4 linked regions of the Schizosaccharomyces pombe genome follow. The protein of the gene in region 1 binds, or shares a complex with, the protein of each later gene. Each region holds a gene or a part of one and is shown on either strand. Other genes may lie near its edges. The genes, in order: snr1, rsm25, SPOM_SPBC3H7.04 and rsm18.

The links.
Region 2: snr1 (region 1) and rsm25 share a complex: the UniProt entries of both Schizosaccharomyces pombe proteins name them as parts of the mitochondrial small ribosomal subunit.
Region 3: snr1 (region 1) and SPOM_SPBC3H7.04 share a complex: the UniProt entries of both Schizosaccharomyces pombe proteins name them as parts of the mitochondrial small ribosomal subunit.
Region 4: snr1 (region 1) and rsm18 share a complex: the UniProt entries of both Schizosaccharomyces pombe proteins name them as parts of the mitochondrial small ribosomal subunit.

What each region holds. Positions count from the first base shown.
Region 1 is NC_003423.3:2,979,191-2,983,724, forward strand, and holds snr1 (mitochondrial 37S ribosomal protein mS47 ), read left to right. Parts: upstream 1-1,811; 5' UTR 1,812-1,871; coding exon 1,872-3,161; 3' UTR 3,162-3,250; downstream 3,251-4,534. Other genes in the region: mmp1 (endopeptidase catalytic subunit), read right to left, coding at 1-108, 152-279; yml6 (mitochondrial 54S ribosomal protein uL4m), read right to left, coding at 471-1,256; fib1 (fibrillarin, rRNA and histone methyltransferase), read right to left, coding at 3,574-4,491. UniProt on the Schizosaccharomyces pombe protein: Component of the mitochondrial ribosome (mitoribosome), a dedicated translation machinery responsible for the synthesis of mitochondrial genome-encoded proteins, including at least some of the essential transmembrane subunits of the mitochondrial respiratory chain.
Region 2 is NC_003423.3:4,290,396-4,294,629, forward strand, and holds rsm25 (mitochondrial 37S ribosomal protein mS23), read right to left. Parts: upstream 1,568-4,234; 5' UTR 1,294-1,567; coding exon 631-1,293; 3' UTR 501-630; downstream 1-500. Other genes in the region: nucleoporin Rae1, read left to right, coding at 1-77; PPR repeat-containing protein Ppr7, read left to right, coding at 3,202-4,234. UniProt on the Schizosaccharomyces pombe protein: Component of the mitochondrial ribosome (mitoribosome), a dedicated translation machinery responsible for the synthesis of mitochondrial genome-encoded proteins, including at least some of the essential transmembrane subunits of the mitochondrial respiratory chain.
Region 3 is NC_003423.3:1,874,146-1,878,326, reverse strand, and holds SPOM_SPBC3H7.04 (mitochondrial 37S ribosomal protein mS42), read left to right. Parts: upstream 1-1,545; 5' UTR 1,546-1,767; coding exon 1,768-2,430; 3' UTR 2,431-2,673; downstream 2,674-4,181. Other genes in the region: SPOM_SPBC3H7.05C (uncharacterized protein), read right to left, coding at 2,795-3,868. UniProt on the Schizosaccharomyces pombe protein: Component of the mitochondrial ribosome (mitoribosome), a dedicated translation machinery responsible for the synthesis of mitochondrial genome-encoded proteins, including at least some of the essential transmembrane subunits of the mitochondrial respiratory chain.
Region 4 is NC_003421.2:723,383-727,292, reverse strand, and holds rsm18 (mitochondrial 37S ribosomal protein bS18m), read right to left. Parts: upstream 1,304-3,910; 5' UTR 1,284-1,303; coding exon 783-1,283; 3' UTR 501-782; downstream 1-500. Other genes in the region: SPOM_SPCC18B5.05C (phosphomethylpyrimidine kinase), read left to right, coding at 1-263; protein kinase Wee1, read right to left, coding at 2,426-3,910. UniProt on the Schizosaccharomyces pombe protein: Component of the mitochondrial ribosome (mitoribosome), a dedicated translation machinery responsible for the synthesis of mitochondrial genome-encoded proteins, including at least some of the essential transmembrane subunits of the mitochondrial respiratory chain.

The sequences.
Region 1 (4,534 bases):
CACACGTGTTGCTTTGAATCGGAAGGTTTTGCCGAAACAACAACATCTCCTACAGAACATGAACGAGCAAACCTACCATGCAATTTATCTAACAAAACGAATTCACCACTTTTTAAGTTAGAACCATAAATACAAAGCGTTATTTCAATACCCAGAATTTAATGTTGGCATCATACTTGGACCCGATGTCATTTGCACTTGAAAAAGATACTCATGAATTTGATGCACAAATGCAGCAATCTGAACGACGGCAATAGGAATACGGAACATGCCAGCCATTGTTAACCAAGAGGTAACTAATCAAGACAGTAAACTAAATAAGCCGAAATTAAAAAATTTAAACACGACAAGAGAAAGGATTGAAAAAAGAATTAATGATTGTGGATTATAATGTTTCCGTAACTACCAAAATCGGAAAATGTAGATTCATGAAATTCAAAAACAATTGAAAGATATGCGTTTATTTCATATCATAGAGATAAAGACGGTTCAGGTTTTGATTTCGTAAAAGAACTACTATTTGCATCAACATAAGCAGTCAGGGAAGCAGGTTGATCCATATCACTTAGTGTATTTCGTTGAGCAAACTTCTCTACAATTAACGACATGGCTTCAGAATCAATAAATAGTTTACCGAATTTTAGTGCATCTCGAACCTGAAACTCACCAACAGGAATAAAGGAGCAATGGTAGCCTAACTGTCTAGATGCAAGCAATAAATTATTATTTTTAAGGGACTCATCTTCAAAGTAATTATCGTTAAGGACAAAAAGTGCCTTCCCGTACTCGTGTCCTAACTTGTGTTGCTTCAAAACTTCAAGCAAAATCCGTGTTTTTGGTTGACTTAAGTTGATGGGATTTTCAAGGATGGTCAGTTCATTATTAATAAATCTTGTACTTAGCGCAATCCTCATTGCTAAATTATAAACTTGGGTTTGTAATTTTGTACTGAAATCTCTAGGCTTAGGACCATGTGATTTAGCACCACCTCTTCTTATAGGACTTGAGGCATCGCCTACCCGTGCATGTCCTGTACCTTTTTGTCGATAAAGTTTTCGACCGGAACAAGTAATTTCATTTCGGCGCTTTGAGCTAGCAGTGCCTTGACGGTCATTATCTGCTTCATAAATAACGGCACGATGCAAAATATCTCGACGAAATCTTTCTTGCAGGAAACTTCCGGGAATAAGAAAAAGACTCGCGGGCTCCAACGACGGAAATTTATATCGCACCAAGTGCAACATTTTTGCTGTCATTCTGATTAGTTTGTGAAATGGACGACTAGTACCTGAAGAATGGATGTATTTTACTTTCAATTAGTCTAACACAATGTACTAAGTATCACAATGCATTTCATTATAACATATTGTGCATTCAAAAGTATCGTAAAGCGTAAAGTATCGAGTTCATTAAATTACGTTGTTTTATGCAACAGGAACTTTATGACTGTATACTGTTAGATAAATTAATGATATCTCATTCATTACCTAAAATAGAAGAAATAATTATTTATACTATGTGATGTCGTACATTAAATATTTGGAATTTGCTCATTCTGACACCTTAAATTGTTGTTGCAAATAGCACCTGTGTATTACAATAACAGTTTTGAGTACTCAATGCTATGCAACAAGTGGTTTAAGACTTTTAAAATCGACAAACCCTGAGAAACTAAATTAATACTAAATATAGATTTTTTGAGACAAGTATTTGCCCAGCTAATGCATGGAAACCTACTTTGTTTTACGAATGGTCTTTTGTGATTTGTTATTAGTTCACAATTAAGAACACACTTCGTTATAAAGTAACGTAGAAGAGACGTTAACCGTCTATGCAAAAATAATCGGTGTTATTTAACTTGGTTAGCTTTCATGGGATTGAAATTAAATATCTCTAACGATTTGAAAAAATCTGGATTTATGTTAAGGCAATCCTTACTTAAAACAAGTGTGTCAAATTTCCTTTCTTTGAATGCAAGTAGCACCATGTCTAGAGCGTTTATTCGAAATCCAAAATTTTATAGCACTTCCTCAAATGATACAGTTTTATACGAGAGTAAAAATGGAGCAAGGATATTTACTTTAAACAGGCCAAAAGTATTGAACGCTATCAACGTTGACATGATAGATTCAATCCTACCAAAGCTAGTTTCATTAGAAGAATCAAATCTGGCCAAGGTAATTATTCTTAAAGGAAATGGTCGCTCTTTTAGTTCGGGAGGTGACATTAAAGCTGCAGCACTTTCAATACAAGATGGAAAATTACCTGAAGTTCGCCATGCATTTGCTCAAGAGTATCGATTAAGCCATACGTTAGCTACATACCAGAAACCAGTTGTGGCTTTGATGAATGGCATCACCATGGGAGGTGGATCTGGTTTGGCTATGCATGTTCCTTTCCGTATTGCGTGTGAAGATACGATGTTTGCTATGCCAGAAACCGGAATTGGCTATTTTACTGACGTGGCTGCCAGTTTCTTCTTCAGTAGACTACCAGGATACTTTGGAACTTATCTGGGATTGACATCTCAAATCGTAAAAGGATATGATTGCCTGCGTACTGGAATTGCAACTCATTTCGTTCCGAAGCATATGTTTCCTCATTTGGAGGACAGGCTTGCAGAGTTAAACACGTCTGATATTTCTAAAATCAATAATACAATCCTGGAATTTGCCGAATTTGCTAGCAGTTCACCACCCACTTTTACTCCAGACGTTATGGATGTCATTAATAAATGCTTCTGCAAAAATGATACCGTTGATATTATTCGTGCGTTAAAAGAATATGCTTCAAACACTAGTGCTTTAGCGGAATTTGCAAAATCTACCGTTAAAACATTGTATAGCAAATCTCCGACTTCAATTGCTGTTACCAATCGACTTATTAAGTCTGCTGCTAAGTGGAGTATATCTGAAGCATTTTACTATGATCATATCGTTTCCTATTATATGCTTAAACAGCCTGATTTTGTTGAAGGTGTTAATGCTCAACTTATTACAAAGACCAAAAATCCAAAATGGAGCAAATCCCATGAATATCACTTTAAAGATTTAGAAAACTATTTCAAGTTGCCTTCAGAATACAATAATGGGATATCTTTTGCTGCAAAAGGAAGACGTAAAACTCCCCTTTGGAATTATAAGACTTATCCTTATTTATAATCCCAAAGGTTACATAAATTAAATATTGTTCTTTATGTCTACTAAGTTTTTTCAGTATTATAATAAGATGATTTATTTCAAAGACCCTGTTATGTTTTAGCATGCGATAAAGCACATAACTCTTTTTAGCAGCTAAAAATAATGATAGCCATTTTAAATACTCATACTAAAACTCTTTTTCGGTAGCTGTGCGTACGATAGTTCAAAAAAAAGAATGCTAACGGCATTAATATATATTCCATAATTCCCATATTGGATCAAACAATGAGAAAATAATTGACAAAACTGCCAAACGCATACCCAAAATATATTTTTATTATTCCAATTGCTCACGGCCTTACCATAAGCTTTTCTAGCAAAAAAAATTATATGATAAACTAAAAAAGCATGCACTTATGGCATATATTTCTGTTTACTGATGTCTCAAGTATTTTCCTACGATGATACAGTGATCACGTTCGTAAGGCTCTAAAGTAAGTTGTTCTTGAGGTTTAATCTTTTCCTCTTGCATTTTCTTAACCTCACGAGCAAAAACAACAGCTGCATCAGCGGTAGAATCAATACAAGAAGCCTTAACAGAGATAACAACTCCACCTTCGTTTTTCAAAAAGGCGGCGGCGTTCAAAGCAACGATACGAGCCTGATCGGGTTGAGCAACGTCTGCAAAAACAACGTCAACCATTCCGACTAACATACGATACTTTTGAACATGGCGAGCATCCTCAACAATGGGGATGACATTCGTGCGCTTTTTAGCCATGTTAAGAAGATCACGTCCAGAACGATGAGAAAACTCAACAGCGTAGACAAGACCCTCAGGACCAACAACATCAGCAACGTGAGAAACGGATGTACCGTTAGCAGCACCAAGATATAAAACACGTGCACCAGGTTTAATATAGATGTTGTCTAAACCGCCCAAAATACCTGCGGCAAGTTTAGAACGGAAAGGATTCCATACACGGTATTCAACTTTGGTACCATCTGGGGAATCAACGCTAATACGTTTTTCATTGTATACTGATTCACCAGGCACCAGATTGCGGGTGACAAGCAAATCTTCTTTTCCGCGAGCAATGAAGACACCTGCATGACGATGAGGCTCAATAATAACTTTAGCACCTCCTTTGGCTCCACCACGGCCACCGCTAGAACCACCGCGGCCTCCTCTGGCACCTCCACGACCGCCACGACCGCCACGAGCACCACCGCGTCCTCCTCCTCTGGCACCTCCACGGCCACCGCCGAAACCACCACGGCCACCATTGAAACCACCACGGCCTCCTCTAGAGCCACCTCGTCCACCTCTTGAACCTGGTGTATATGCCATTATTTTTTTTTGTGGTAGGTAATGGGTCTGTAAAATTTTTAGG
Region 2 (4,234 bases), 1.3 Mb from region 1:
CGCAATTGCCCAATAAAATCATGCTCCACCCTGTTCCGCAAGACGAAATAAAACCTCGACCTAAGAAAGGAAGGTAAATGATGGTAATTTTTAGAGTCTACATAGGTGAGATGGTGACCAATCCTGTTGAGGCATGAGTTTGGTTTTTTTGATATGTATCTTAACTTTTTGTTTGGGAAAAAAAGTGGCATTTCGTGATTCATGACTAAAATCAATTACTGGCAATCGTTTAATATTAGAAAAATTTTTCCTTTCCTGACAAAAAGTGTTATGGGTATAGACGCTATCATCTTCTTATCTATGTTGGCTGCTCAATAAATGATGAACTTTTTTTAAAGCACTTTTAAAAGTTTGGAGCGAAAGTTCGCTAGCTGGCTAAACGGCAGTGTCATCTGAAAAGCTTGCTATAGCTTTGAATAATATTTATAATATATATATATGTATTCAAATAGATGGTAGAAATTTAATGTGTTCTGATAGATTGTTTTAATTTGAAGACATAAAGAGATGAAAAATATCTGTTTTATTTTTGAAAGGGGATAGTACTAAGAAAATTCTGAAAAAAAAAAAAACAAAACAAAAATCAATTTTTGAGGAGACAATATGATATATCAGCTGTGAATTTAAATACTACTGAGTCGTCTTAGAGATATCTACACTCGGGTCTGTGAACTTTGTACGATTAGCCTCAGCGTATTGTGAAGCATTATCAAACCAAGAATTTAAAGCATTTTGATCCATTTCATAGCCCAACTCCAGATCAGATTTTGTAAATACAGCACCCAATGCTTGAGCCTGATCATGGGCAACGCGTTGCTGAATTTCTTGTTCAGCGCGTAGGTGATAAAATTCCTTTCTTGCTTGATCATAAGCATTTTCTACAGGCATGTTAGAGTTTTCAATCAGCCATAAAGTTCTTTGCACTACACTCTCGCCAGATAATGCTTTGCGCGGTTGATCCATGTGACTCCAATCACAATATTGCTGATCATTACCGTCATTTTCTGCAATGATTTGAGGCCTTGCTAGTTCCCAAGGATGATCTCGATAAAACCTTTTACGGAGTTTATCTTCTGGCCATTGAATTTCCTGAGGCTGATACATTGATTTTCGTAACCGTTTACCACGGGATTTTACCTTATTTGGATCGTACAATGGTACAATACGTCTAGCATATTGAAAGGTTGGGGGATGTTTAGCAACCGTTTCGTACCATAAAGACTCTGCTGTCCATGGCTTTTTCATTTCAGCTGCAAAGCTGCGTAGCAAACCATTTGCATTAAATTTCGGCATTGGATCTTCCTCCTGAAAAAGTTATTAAATAGTATATTAGTAAAATAATCAGTAATAGAAACGTGAAAATGGAAGTAAGGATTGAATAATGATTGAGATGGGTTAATTATGCAAAACACATCCACGGCGCTATAAATAATGGAGAGTATGACTTGAGGTAATAAACAATCGCTTATATGGATAGTCTGCTAAAAAAGTGAATTATAAGCGCAAGAAACCAACTTTTTTGGTGAAAATGGCTTCCAAGAGGAATTGGGCTGGCCAAGCTAGTGTTAGCTGACGGTACTAGTGTGCCTCATCTTAGTAGCTACTGAGTATAACCTAATGGTAAGATATTATGAATATTTATTTCAGAACACACAAGGATACGAACACTATTAATGAAATAGTTATTTATAAATTTAAACACATCTATTGCCTTTTTTTTGCTAAGATATGGCTTGTTTGTAAATTCGGAATTTAAACTAAGCGATTGTTCATCTAAATTAATTTTATGGATTGAAAGTCCCTATTATTTTTTAGATATTTTTTTTATAATTGCTAAAGGTATATAGAGTTTATTGCCTTTATTTTTTTATATTTTTTTATCAATCGTTAACGCCATAGGAAAGCAAGTTAAACTGCTTAAAAATTTTTTAATACTTAAAAATTTTTTGTTATGGAATAAACTTTTTTTTTTTTATACTTTTAATTTTCACTGATTTCATTAAATATTTACCGGCAGCCGTTAGAATTATTAATAACAATGGTTCAAAAAACTCCAAAAAAATTTTAAGATTAATTAGACAAAATCAATTATATGTTTCGTAAAGCAAATTAAATGGCTGTACTGTATTTGTGAAGCTGTATGCGTATTTGCTAATTTGATTTTGTCATAAACTGACTGAGTAAATTAGCGCAGCAAATGCCGCTACACCTAGCATGTTCTGAAGTGAAAATGAAGTGCTGCAAATATTTAAAGCCATTGATCGTACAGTATTATTATGAATGGACATCAACTACTTGAATTCTTGCCTGCTCATACATTTTTAGCAGTTATTTTCATTTCTTCACTTATAACGCAGTCATATTTATACTCCGTATTTGATTTTACCTGCTAGCTGGCAATCTCAATGCTAGAATACGATATTCGCTTCTGGATGATGAGTGTTATATAACCTAGGTAAGGTTAATCTGTAGCTTATAACGAAGAAGTAAGGTAAATAGACTACACTTGTGTTCTTTGACGAAAGTGTATTCGATGATATTGTAAATGCTGATTAAATACTAATGAGTCAACAAACGTGCCTAAATGCTGGTTGCATTCAATGCCATTCCTATATATGATGATGGCCGATTGATCGTTATTCATTAGCGATTCTTAAGAGGATCGATGAATGATAGTTTAATAGTTTAGAGGGATATTCTGCATTTAATTATATTAAGGGACCTCTTTTTTACTCATGAATGTTCTTTCCATGTTTACACAATAACGAGCTATTATAACAAAATAACGTAAATAAACTATAGCGATGGTTTCCGTTAATTCACTAACGCTGCCTGTTAATGAGGAAATAGCAATCTTAGGTTTTGCTTAGAACCCAACTTCGCAACGTTGGAAGGTTTGCTCAGTTAGCTGTATTTATACCACCTTCTGTTTTTTGGAAACCTTGGATGAAATGTTTAGATGCATTATTGAGCCTTTTCGCACAGTTTAATGTTTGAATTATCGCATCATATAGAAAGGGAACGGAAGTATATGCATCATCTCGTATCGAGTTCTCGTTTTCTTTTTTTATCAAGTACCCCCTTCTCTCATTAATAGTGATCCTTTTAATTTGATTATCGTTTCTTTTCTTCATAACGCGTCTTTTCGTTTCCACGCCTCTCGTTTTGGGGACGACTTTTGTCTGCTTGCCAGGCTAAGAGATGCGAAATTGTGTATCTCCACTACTTTTTGCATGGACAAAACATTTACGTTTAAGGGAATTTAAAATCCCTTTCCCAAATCGTCTTGTTGTGCGGTCACTAAACCAGCTTAGCGTTCATCATGAAAAGGTAACTGGGTGCAGGCCTCGACAAGCGTCTTCTGATGAATTACATAAATACTCGAAATCTGCTTCAAACGAAGCATTTCTCTCAAGTTTTGCAGAAAATCAATTATTTCACAAGTGTTTGCCTTCCAGCGCAGGTGCTGTTCTTAGTGAAAACGATTTAATGTACATTATCCGAAAAGTCAGTGAAGTCTATGCTGATAATAAAACTGAAAAGGTTACTGTGCCTTTTGACAAACATAAAAACCCATTCCTAATTTACGTGAAAAAACGGTTTGCCGAATGTTTTGATAAAAATCCTGATCTTTGCCTCATTGTGTATTCAAAACTGGAGGTTGAAACGTTGGCAAAAATAACTCCCATTTGGATTAATGTCGCCAAAAAAAATAAAAAAGAAGATTTTCTTGTTGAACTCTGCCTCCGTTTTTTAGAACGATTCCGTTCATGCAATTTGACTGAACAAGCAATCTTATATCAAAATTTTCGAGAAAACTGGTGGAGTAACATTAAGTTACCCCAAAATCTCAAAAGTCTGTACGTTGAATTGTGTTTGGTGTATCATTTCCATAATTCCCATCTTGGGATGGATTCCTCTACAGTCTCTAATTTAAAACGCTTCTGCTTCTCAGAGTCATTAGGTCATATATTTGCTCCTTTGAGATTCCAAAATCAACAGCTTCCTTTGCAACACGTTTATGCGTTTTTGTTTTCCATAGCATATCGTGATAACCAAGTTGATACTGCTCATTTTCTTTATAAACAGTGGTCTCGTGCAGGCATGGGACCATTGCCAAAAGATGCATTTATAAAATTTGTACAATTACTCTCAAAAAACCGTAATTGGGTTTTAATGCGCGATATTGTTCAGCTGGAAGAATACAATAGTTATCTTCTCGACCATCGAATAG
Region 3 (4,181 bases), 1.1 Mb from region 1:
TGTCATCAATTATTCATGCTTCTTGTCCTTGATTATTGTTATATATCTTTTGAGCGCACATCAAATAAATTAAACGGATTGGTAATTACAAAACAGACATGCTGAGTTTGTGTAAAAATCATCGCTAATTCTAGGTGGTATATTTAATCTATCCTATAGAAGAAATTACCTTTACTCGTTAGTAATGTCTCGTACCATTGACACAGTCTAATACATTAGCAATTAAAAAAGACTGTGGCATGGCCTGTAAAAAATACGCATCTAGCTCTTATTTTGGATAAAAATAAATAAATATGTGACTTACTGAAAAAATTGTACCAGGGTCAGATGAAACGTTGAAAATTATTCGCTTATAGCCCTGATCACTAATGGCATGTAATCCAAAACTAGTGGATAGTGAAACAATCTTCTATTTTAACTATAACCAGATAATATTAAATTTAAAAAAAGTATCCGTAATCCATAAATCACTTGTTACTGTTGTGTAGAGCCTGAAATTGCAACAAGACCGGGCTTGGCAGCATGTATGCATACTTGGGTTATTCCGTCTAAGTTTCAGCAGTTCTTCCTTAATATAGTAGTAATCTTTTTGTCTCAAATCCCATATTTCTTCTAGCTCAGCCCCAATGGTAGGTATTCTTCAAAAACATTTGTATGCAGCTAGTTATTCCCTATTTCGCTTGTAAGCATATGAAACAATCCCAGTAGCCTCGGCTAAAAATAACCTTAAACTTTTTTTTATTGCCAAAGCAGCTTTTTGAACGATGAAAGAAATGAAGCTTCGAAAAAAATGCAGTGCACTTACAATTTTAGTTAACTAAAACTAAAAATAAATGGTAGATGTTTCCAATCCATGAACGGTGTTATGAACCTGTATCAATTCCTAATTAATCGTTAGCGTATGGTTTCATAAACGATTAATCACGAATGTTTAGATCAAATTTGAGTAAGCTTTTGAACAATTAGGCTGCAATCTAAACGGTTACATAAAAAATTTGAGGGTCTCTTGAATTACTGAGACAAAAAAAAAAATCGGGCTGTTGTGGGAATCGAACCCACGACCACCATCACCCTAAGATGGTATCATACCACTAGACCAAACGGCCACAATTGTCATTTATAAACGTTTAACATATTTACAGTTCTTTCACATAAAAGTTGTGATCATTCGAATATTAAAGTTATTTTTCTTCTTCTCAAGTCAATGAATCTTCTTATAAAAGACGAAGTAAATTTGATTGAAAATGAGTCATACAGCTTACTTTTAAATTGAATCATGGTCATATTGGGAATAAAGGCTTTTATAATCCACCGTTTAAACCCGTTGAACGCTTTAAGATTACTTTCACAATTTTTTTTGGGAAACTTGTTAACAAATTCATTGTAATACTAGTTAAGTTTCAACGAAGTTTTAGATTTCTGTTAATTCAACTTCAAAAATTTATATAGTGGTATAATGGTATATATCGCAACAAGGAATGCAGAACTTTCATACCGATATTTTACTTGCGCCAGTAGGGCTGCTTACCTCTCTCTGAGCGGTCTGAGTGGAACGCCTTTACCAATATTGAAGTTGAAATATTTCAAACATTCAAAAACGTAGCATCTACACTATTTGATTTTCATATTTTGTTAATACTTAATGAATTAATTATACAGTTTGGTCGTCTTTGCCAATTTCTTAGGATTACAAAATTTAAACCCGCATACTTGATTTCCATTGCAGTTTTTTATACCCATTCCCTAACTATTACCTCAATTTAACAAATGAGTTTTCAACAGCGCTTCGCCAGAGCGTTGGACGTGGGCTACAAGAATTTTTTGTCAAAAGATGCGGTCAGGAATATCTTTGCTTATGACAACCACTTACGAGGCCTAGTACAAAAAGAATGTAAAATTCATCAAACTCCGTATCGTGTGCCTTCAGATTTAATGGTTCAAAGCGCTAGTGACCCAGCCCGCGCTAATTTATTCAATTACTCTAGCCAATTGGTAAATCATGATTTTTTCTTTTCCGGCCTTATTTCTCCAGAACGGCCCTCTGCAGATGCAGATTTAGGAGCTATCAACCTAAAGCCTGGAATTGATGCATCCTTCGGTTCATTTGGTGAGTTGAAGTCTCAAATGGTTGACGTTGGCAATTCAGTTTTTGGTGATGGTTGGCTGTGGTTGGTATATAGTCCAGAAAAATCTTTATTTTCCTTATTATGCACGTACAATGCGTCAAATGCCTTTCTTTGGGGAACAGGATTTCCTAAGTTTCGTACCAATGCAATTGTACCGCTTTTATGCGTTAACCTTTGGCAATATGCGTATCTTGACGACTATGGTTTAAATGGTAAAAAAATGTACATTACAAAATGGTGGGATATGATCAATTGGACGGTCGTCAACAATAGATTCCAAGCTACGCGCATTGAATCCCTTTAGCTAACCCGACTGAATCCTGCACAATTTTCAATCTTTTTCTACTTCTCTCCCCTCCTCTCCCGGCTACGTTTTGTATGCAAGTGATCATGGTGGCTTACTATGGGTTCACTTTATCTGATTGAAAAAACCCATACTATTAACAAATCTTATAAATAAATAAAGTTTTGTAATTACTGTTGGCAAAGAATGAGAATTAGAATGCTAAATGTAATGTTTCCCTCTATATATTATTTAACATTCCAACAATATCTACGGAAAAGTTAATTTAGTTGAACCATCCATTAAATGTATAAACTAGGACACATAGCAATTATCTGATACTTTAGAGGTTTCGGAAGGTCAAACATAGACATTAAACAGTAAATTAAATTTGCGAGCATGTTTTCCACTTAAATTTTAATAATACGACTCCCATACCATATGTTCCATTAATAAGCATTTCGATTATTAGGACCCAATAATGATATTTGCGCAAGAGGGGAATCCTTTTTTCAAGATTAATAAGGAAAGGTTGAATTAAAAGCTGAAAAAAGAAAGCAGGTGAACAGCGTCCAGAAATTGACCAATAGGCAAAGTCATGGAATAATGCTGAAAGGAAAAAACATGAACAACTTGCCAGAAACTTACTTCCAGTGAGGGCAATAGTTGGATCCCAAGCAATCACTCTGAAATAGGGCTTGGTACAAACATGCCAATCTCTGGACCAAAAATCATTAACCGAGGTGGTTTTAGATACATTTCCCATCATTAATGGATACTCTGCAATATCCCAAATTCCCAGAGGAACAAAAATAATGGCGAATAAATAGTACAAGGCATTAATAAACAAATATGAAAAGAATCCAGAGGTTACGCAAAATGCGACTTGAATATACCATGGGTTGGCTGATATAGGAAGCAACATCCAATTGGATAAACGAGTTTTAAAACAATTGACAAAACAAAATGCACCCACATAGACAGCAGTACGTATCCCCAAAGATTTGTAAGTCAGCACTTTTCTACAGTAAGGGGGAACCACGTCGTCAGTCCAACCATACTTGCGCAAAGAAAGTGCATAATCAACAAAGTTCCACCTAGCGTTACGAATGAATGGTCGACGACGCTTAACAGCGCTGATTTGTACAGGATCGTTGCGAGAAGGTACCATATCTCGCCAACTCAAAAAGCAAGTTCGAAGCGACATCATAATGAGAAAGCCATATGCCAAACCAAATGTAGAGACATCCTTATAACCAACATGGTGATAGACAGCACACATGCGATACGCCAGTATAACCGTGATGGAACATAACAAAGTGCAGGCGATTTTCCACCGGCGAAAAAAACAAAAGGTTTCGACAAGGTATGTAGCTAAAGGGAATAGATTGAACAGAAGGATGTTATAAATACCTGTGACTGGAAGTTTGGAAGAAGGATCGAAAGAAAATGGATACATGAAAGTAATTGAATTTTAGATCGTGTTCGTAGATGATCAAACGCCGAAAACTTTATAGTGGAGGAATAGGAAAGGAAGAAAAGCAAAAAAGTAAGAAAGAAAATTCGCAGTTAAAACAAAAGTGAAGAAAAAGAACAGATAGGGTAAGACAATACAAGCAACACTAGACGAGACAAGACAAGACAAGGCGAAACAATAAGAAAAGGCAAACCACACTCTATATAACTATGAGACTTTATTTACAATCAATCAGTCAACCGACAAAAATATGAAAAAAAGACAATAATGATAAAAGAAAATGACAAAATGCTTA
Region 4 (3,910 bases), on another chromosome or scaffold:
GTTGCTCTCTTACAGCTGCCATTGCATCGAATCTGGCTTGTAATATACCACCTTTGCAAGCCATTCACGAAGCTTTATATTCAATCGAGTGGGCCATTCAAAGGGTTCATAAAAAGAGTTCAGATCCCTATAAGAGTGCTCAGCTATTTACAGCTTTAGGTCATTCTTCTAAGTTCTCAGGATCTCTAATTTCGTTAAAGTCGGAGAATTACATACCACAAGCTGATTTAACTTCTGTTCTTTTATCTCATATACCTTCATGAAAAGCCCTATTGCATATATTTTGAACTAGCTCCATGATGCACTCATCGTTTTAATATCGTTCTATAAAACCCAATTCTTTTCTAGATGGATTTTTTCTTCTTTTGCATATAATTATTTGTTCTTCCCTCTCTGTCCTCTTTAGATAAGTAAAATAACTACTACTAGATAATTTTTTTAATACATTGTATCGACTAACGCTCCTCCTACAAAAAAGTTCAATCAAGCTAAATTAAAAATTAAAGATAACAAAGATATTATATTTTTAAAGCCATTAAAAAATGTTAGCCACTAATATTAGCAGCGGTTTATGATTTTGTGTCATGTATATTTTAATCCAAAAAAGACTATTCAAAACCAAAGTACACCTGAAATATTAATTAACGTGAGCTAATCATTTAAAAAGTAAAGTAGATCGTTTATCGTTCCTTAAGAAAAAAAAAGTAAGGGACAGTGGGTAAGTATATCTACCAATGTGATGAAATGAGATATAGAACGTCCTTGTTAATATTCAGTACAATTTAATTTTCCGAATAAACTGATTTGTATTTCGTCGGCATTATACCAGCAGCTCGAGCCCTTCGGATAGCCCTAGAAAGAAGTCGTTGATTTTTTGCTGTTAGGCCAGTATCACCTCTGGGTTTAATACGACCAAGTTCAGTAACGAATCTTGACAATATTACGGGGTTTTTCCAATAATTCATAGGGTTTTCGTTCACCGTCTTAAAGCAATCTTCTCTTACTGGTTCATAGAATTTGGCTTGATTTTTCGCCTTTACCGTTTCAAACAGTAAATCATTGGGAGAGTAAATATCACCTTCTTCTACGGAGGCTGATAAATATGATGGAATATTTGAGCGAACTCTTCTCTGAAATCCTACATTTGAAGATGCTTCAGAATTTCTCTCATTAAATTTTCGATTGTCCGAAAACCCTCTTCGCGTAGAGTTATTAGATTGTATGAGATTGCATAAAATAAATCCTCTGTTTGGAGCTGGAGAAAATATTCGTCTCCCAAGCATTTTTCTCCCGTGCTGTTGTCAAAGTAATATTTCAATGTTTGAAGGTGTTTAGTGAAATAATGAGACACTCGTTAAATAGTTTATAGCTTATGCTTGTGTCTGATAAATGAAAACGTGATGATACCTGAATTTTCTAACTTTTCTGTTTCAAAATAAATGTTTATTTAGATATGAAGTGTTAAACGGGTCATTAAAATCCTATACTAATTTGAAGGCATCACAAACTTGAGCATATACACAGCTTTCACAAGCATAAAAAAAAAGGGAAATTAAAAATTACAGAAGTGGAACTAAGCATAACGTTAACATTATTACTAATTATTATATGATATGATAATAATAAAAAATCTAACGGGTTATTAAACTTCGTTAGTAAATCGTGGCATTTTCCATAAACATAACCAATTATTTGCCATTCAGCAAGATCGTAAACTATGTACAAGAATAATAGGCAGTGTCATCGATCGATCTAAATTATTATGAAAACAGAAGTCAAAAAAAAGTGGATAAACAGTCGGGATTCGAACTTTATGCTAGCAAAGATGAGTAAATGCAACATATCAAGTCGATAACAAACGAGTGACATAAGAAATTAGACAATAAAATAGATGAAAAATAGGAATAATAACTCCTCTGAAGCCGAGTCTACATGTTAGAGAAAGGATTTGCGATATAAAAAACAATCGTTCACTAACATTTTTTCAGTAGACAAAGCACGTACAGTATGTGCGGCGTCAAGGCTTTAAATTAAGGAAACATTCTAGTTCCCCATATCAAGAACTGAATGGCATGTTTCCATAGCCATCATCATATTGCCTCAGATATAATTAACCGGATATTTGACTGAAGAAAACCAAATAGATAATCCGGTGAAAAGGCAAAAAATTAAATAGAAAAACTATCATCTAATAATTTTTTAAAATTTTTTAAAATTTAAGGGTTCGGTTAAAACGGACACGTATCCTTAAATAAAAAAAAAGCATTTAATGAACCAAAATTAATTATAAGCACCAATCACTAAACTTTTCGTTTAAAAATAATTAAAGTGTTTGCTTTTATGAAGCTAAACAGATTTTGGAAGCCATTCCCTTATTTCGCAATTTCGCAGTAATAAACATTGAGAACAAGAGTCTCTAAAAGGTTTAAACATTCACCTGCCAATCTTCCATCATTTGATCACCCTGGGGGTTAGAAGAAGATCCATGAATACCTTCATAAATTATGGCTCCGGCTTTTCTACGCATTTCAACCCAGCAAACCTCATCAGTTGCCAAAATTTGATCTATGGTAGGTCGGTTCCTAGGCTCTGGAGATAGCATCCACTCTACAACGCGATCAAGTCCCCCTTGGCCTATTATACTATTAGCCGGTGTTTCACGAGAAGAAGAAGTAAGAGATGAACCGTTGTCTGTTGAAGAAAGTCGAGGAGCATCTGATAAGTCACCGGAACGTAATTTCTGCCAAGACTGACCGTTATCAGGAAGAACAATGTTAGCAGCAGCTTCGAAGACTGTGATACCCAAACTGAAAATATCAGCAGGTTTATCATACAAATGGTTAGCAAGAACCTCAGGCGCAATGTATTCACAATCACCTTCTCTTTCCATGCCTCTCGGAACAGGCCAAACACTGGCCATTCCAAAATCACCAATCTTCAAGGTACCCTCGAATGTTATCATAACATTAGCAGGCTTTAAATCCAAATGAACATAATTTTTATGATGAATAAACTGTAGCCCAAGAGCTACTTCTACTAATATTTTCCATACCCTAAATTCATCGAGCCTTGAAAGTTGTCCTTGCTCTTCAAGAAAACGATCCAAACTACCATTTTCACACAATTCGACTTGCATATAAAGAAACCCCCCATGTTCCCATGAGTCCATAAGCTCTACAATGTGATCATGGCCTTTAAGGGCTCGTTGAATAGAGACTTCCTGAAGTAGTCGATTACGTTCTTTTGGTCCACTAAACTTTACCTTGAGCTTTTTCACTGCATACTTTAAAGTTTTTTCCACAGGGTCTTCAACTTGAAAAACCTCACTAAACTCTCCACTTCCTAGTAAAGTAACATTTCTAAACCGTGTAAGCAAATGTGAAGTAGATGATGATACTTTGGACGAGGTGAGAGCAGAAGGAAAGGATAATGTAAAGCTTGAAGAAGAGGGTTGAGATACATCAGCTTCTTCCTCCATGGCAAATGACATTTGATTATTATTTCTCGATTTGATAGGCGAAGGTTGCCGACCGTCCATGTGAATGGAAACAGTATTTTCAAACGCAAATGGGTTACGAGTAGGCGTAGCGGGACACCTCTGATTAGATAGAAATGGTAATCCATAGTTGTGAGAAGTTTTTACAGCAGAAGGAGGAGGATCGAACCTCAAAAAGTCCATGGAACTTTTCTCCAACTGAATAGTAGGAATGGAATTGTGATTTGTAGGAGTGTTTTCCCGTTGAATAAAATAAGAGTCGGTTTGTGTATTGGAAGGAGTCGAGGGTGATGGAGGCGAATCTGTGGAGGAAGAATGTGGACGAACAAAGGTAGAGGGTTTTGAAGGAGTACTAGGAGGGAGAGGTGTAAAGTTAATATTCTTTCGCGGACGATGTTGCTTGGATAAAAGACC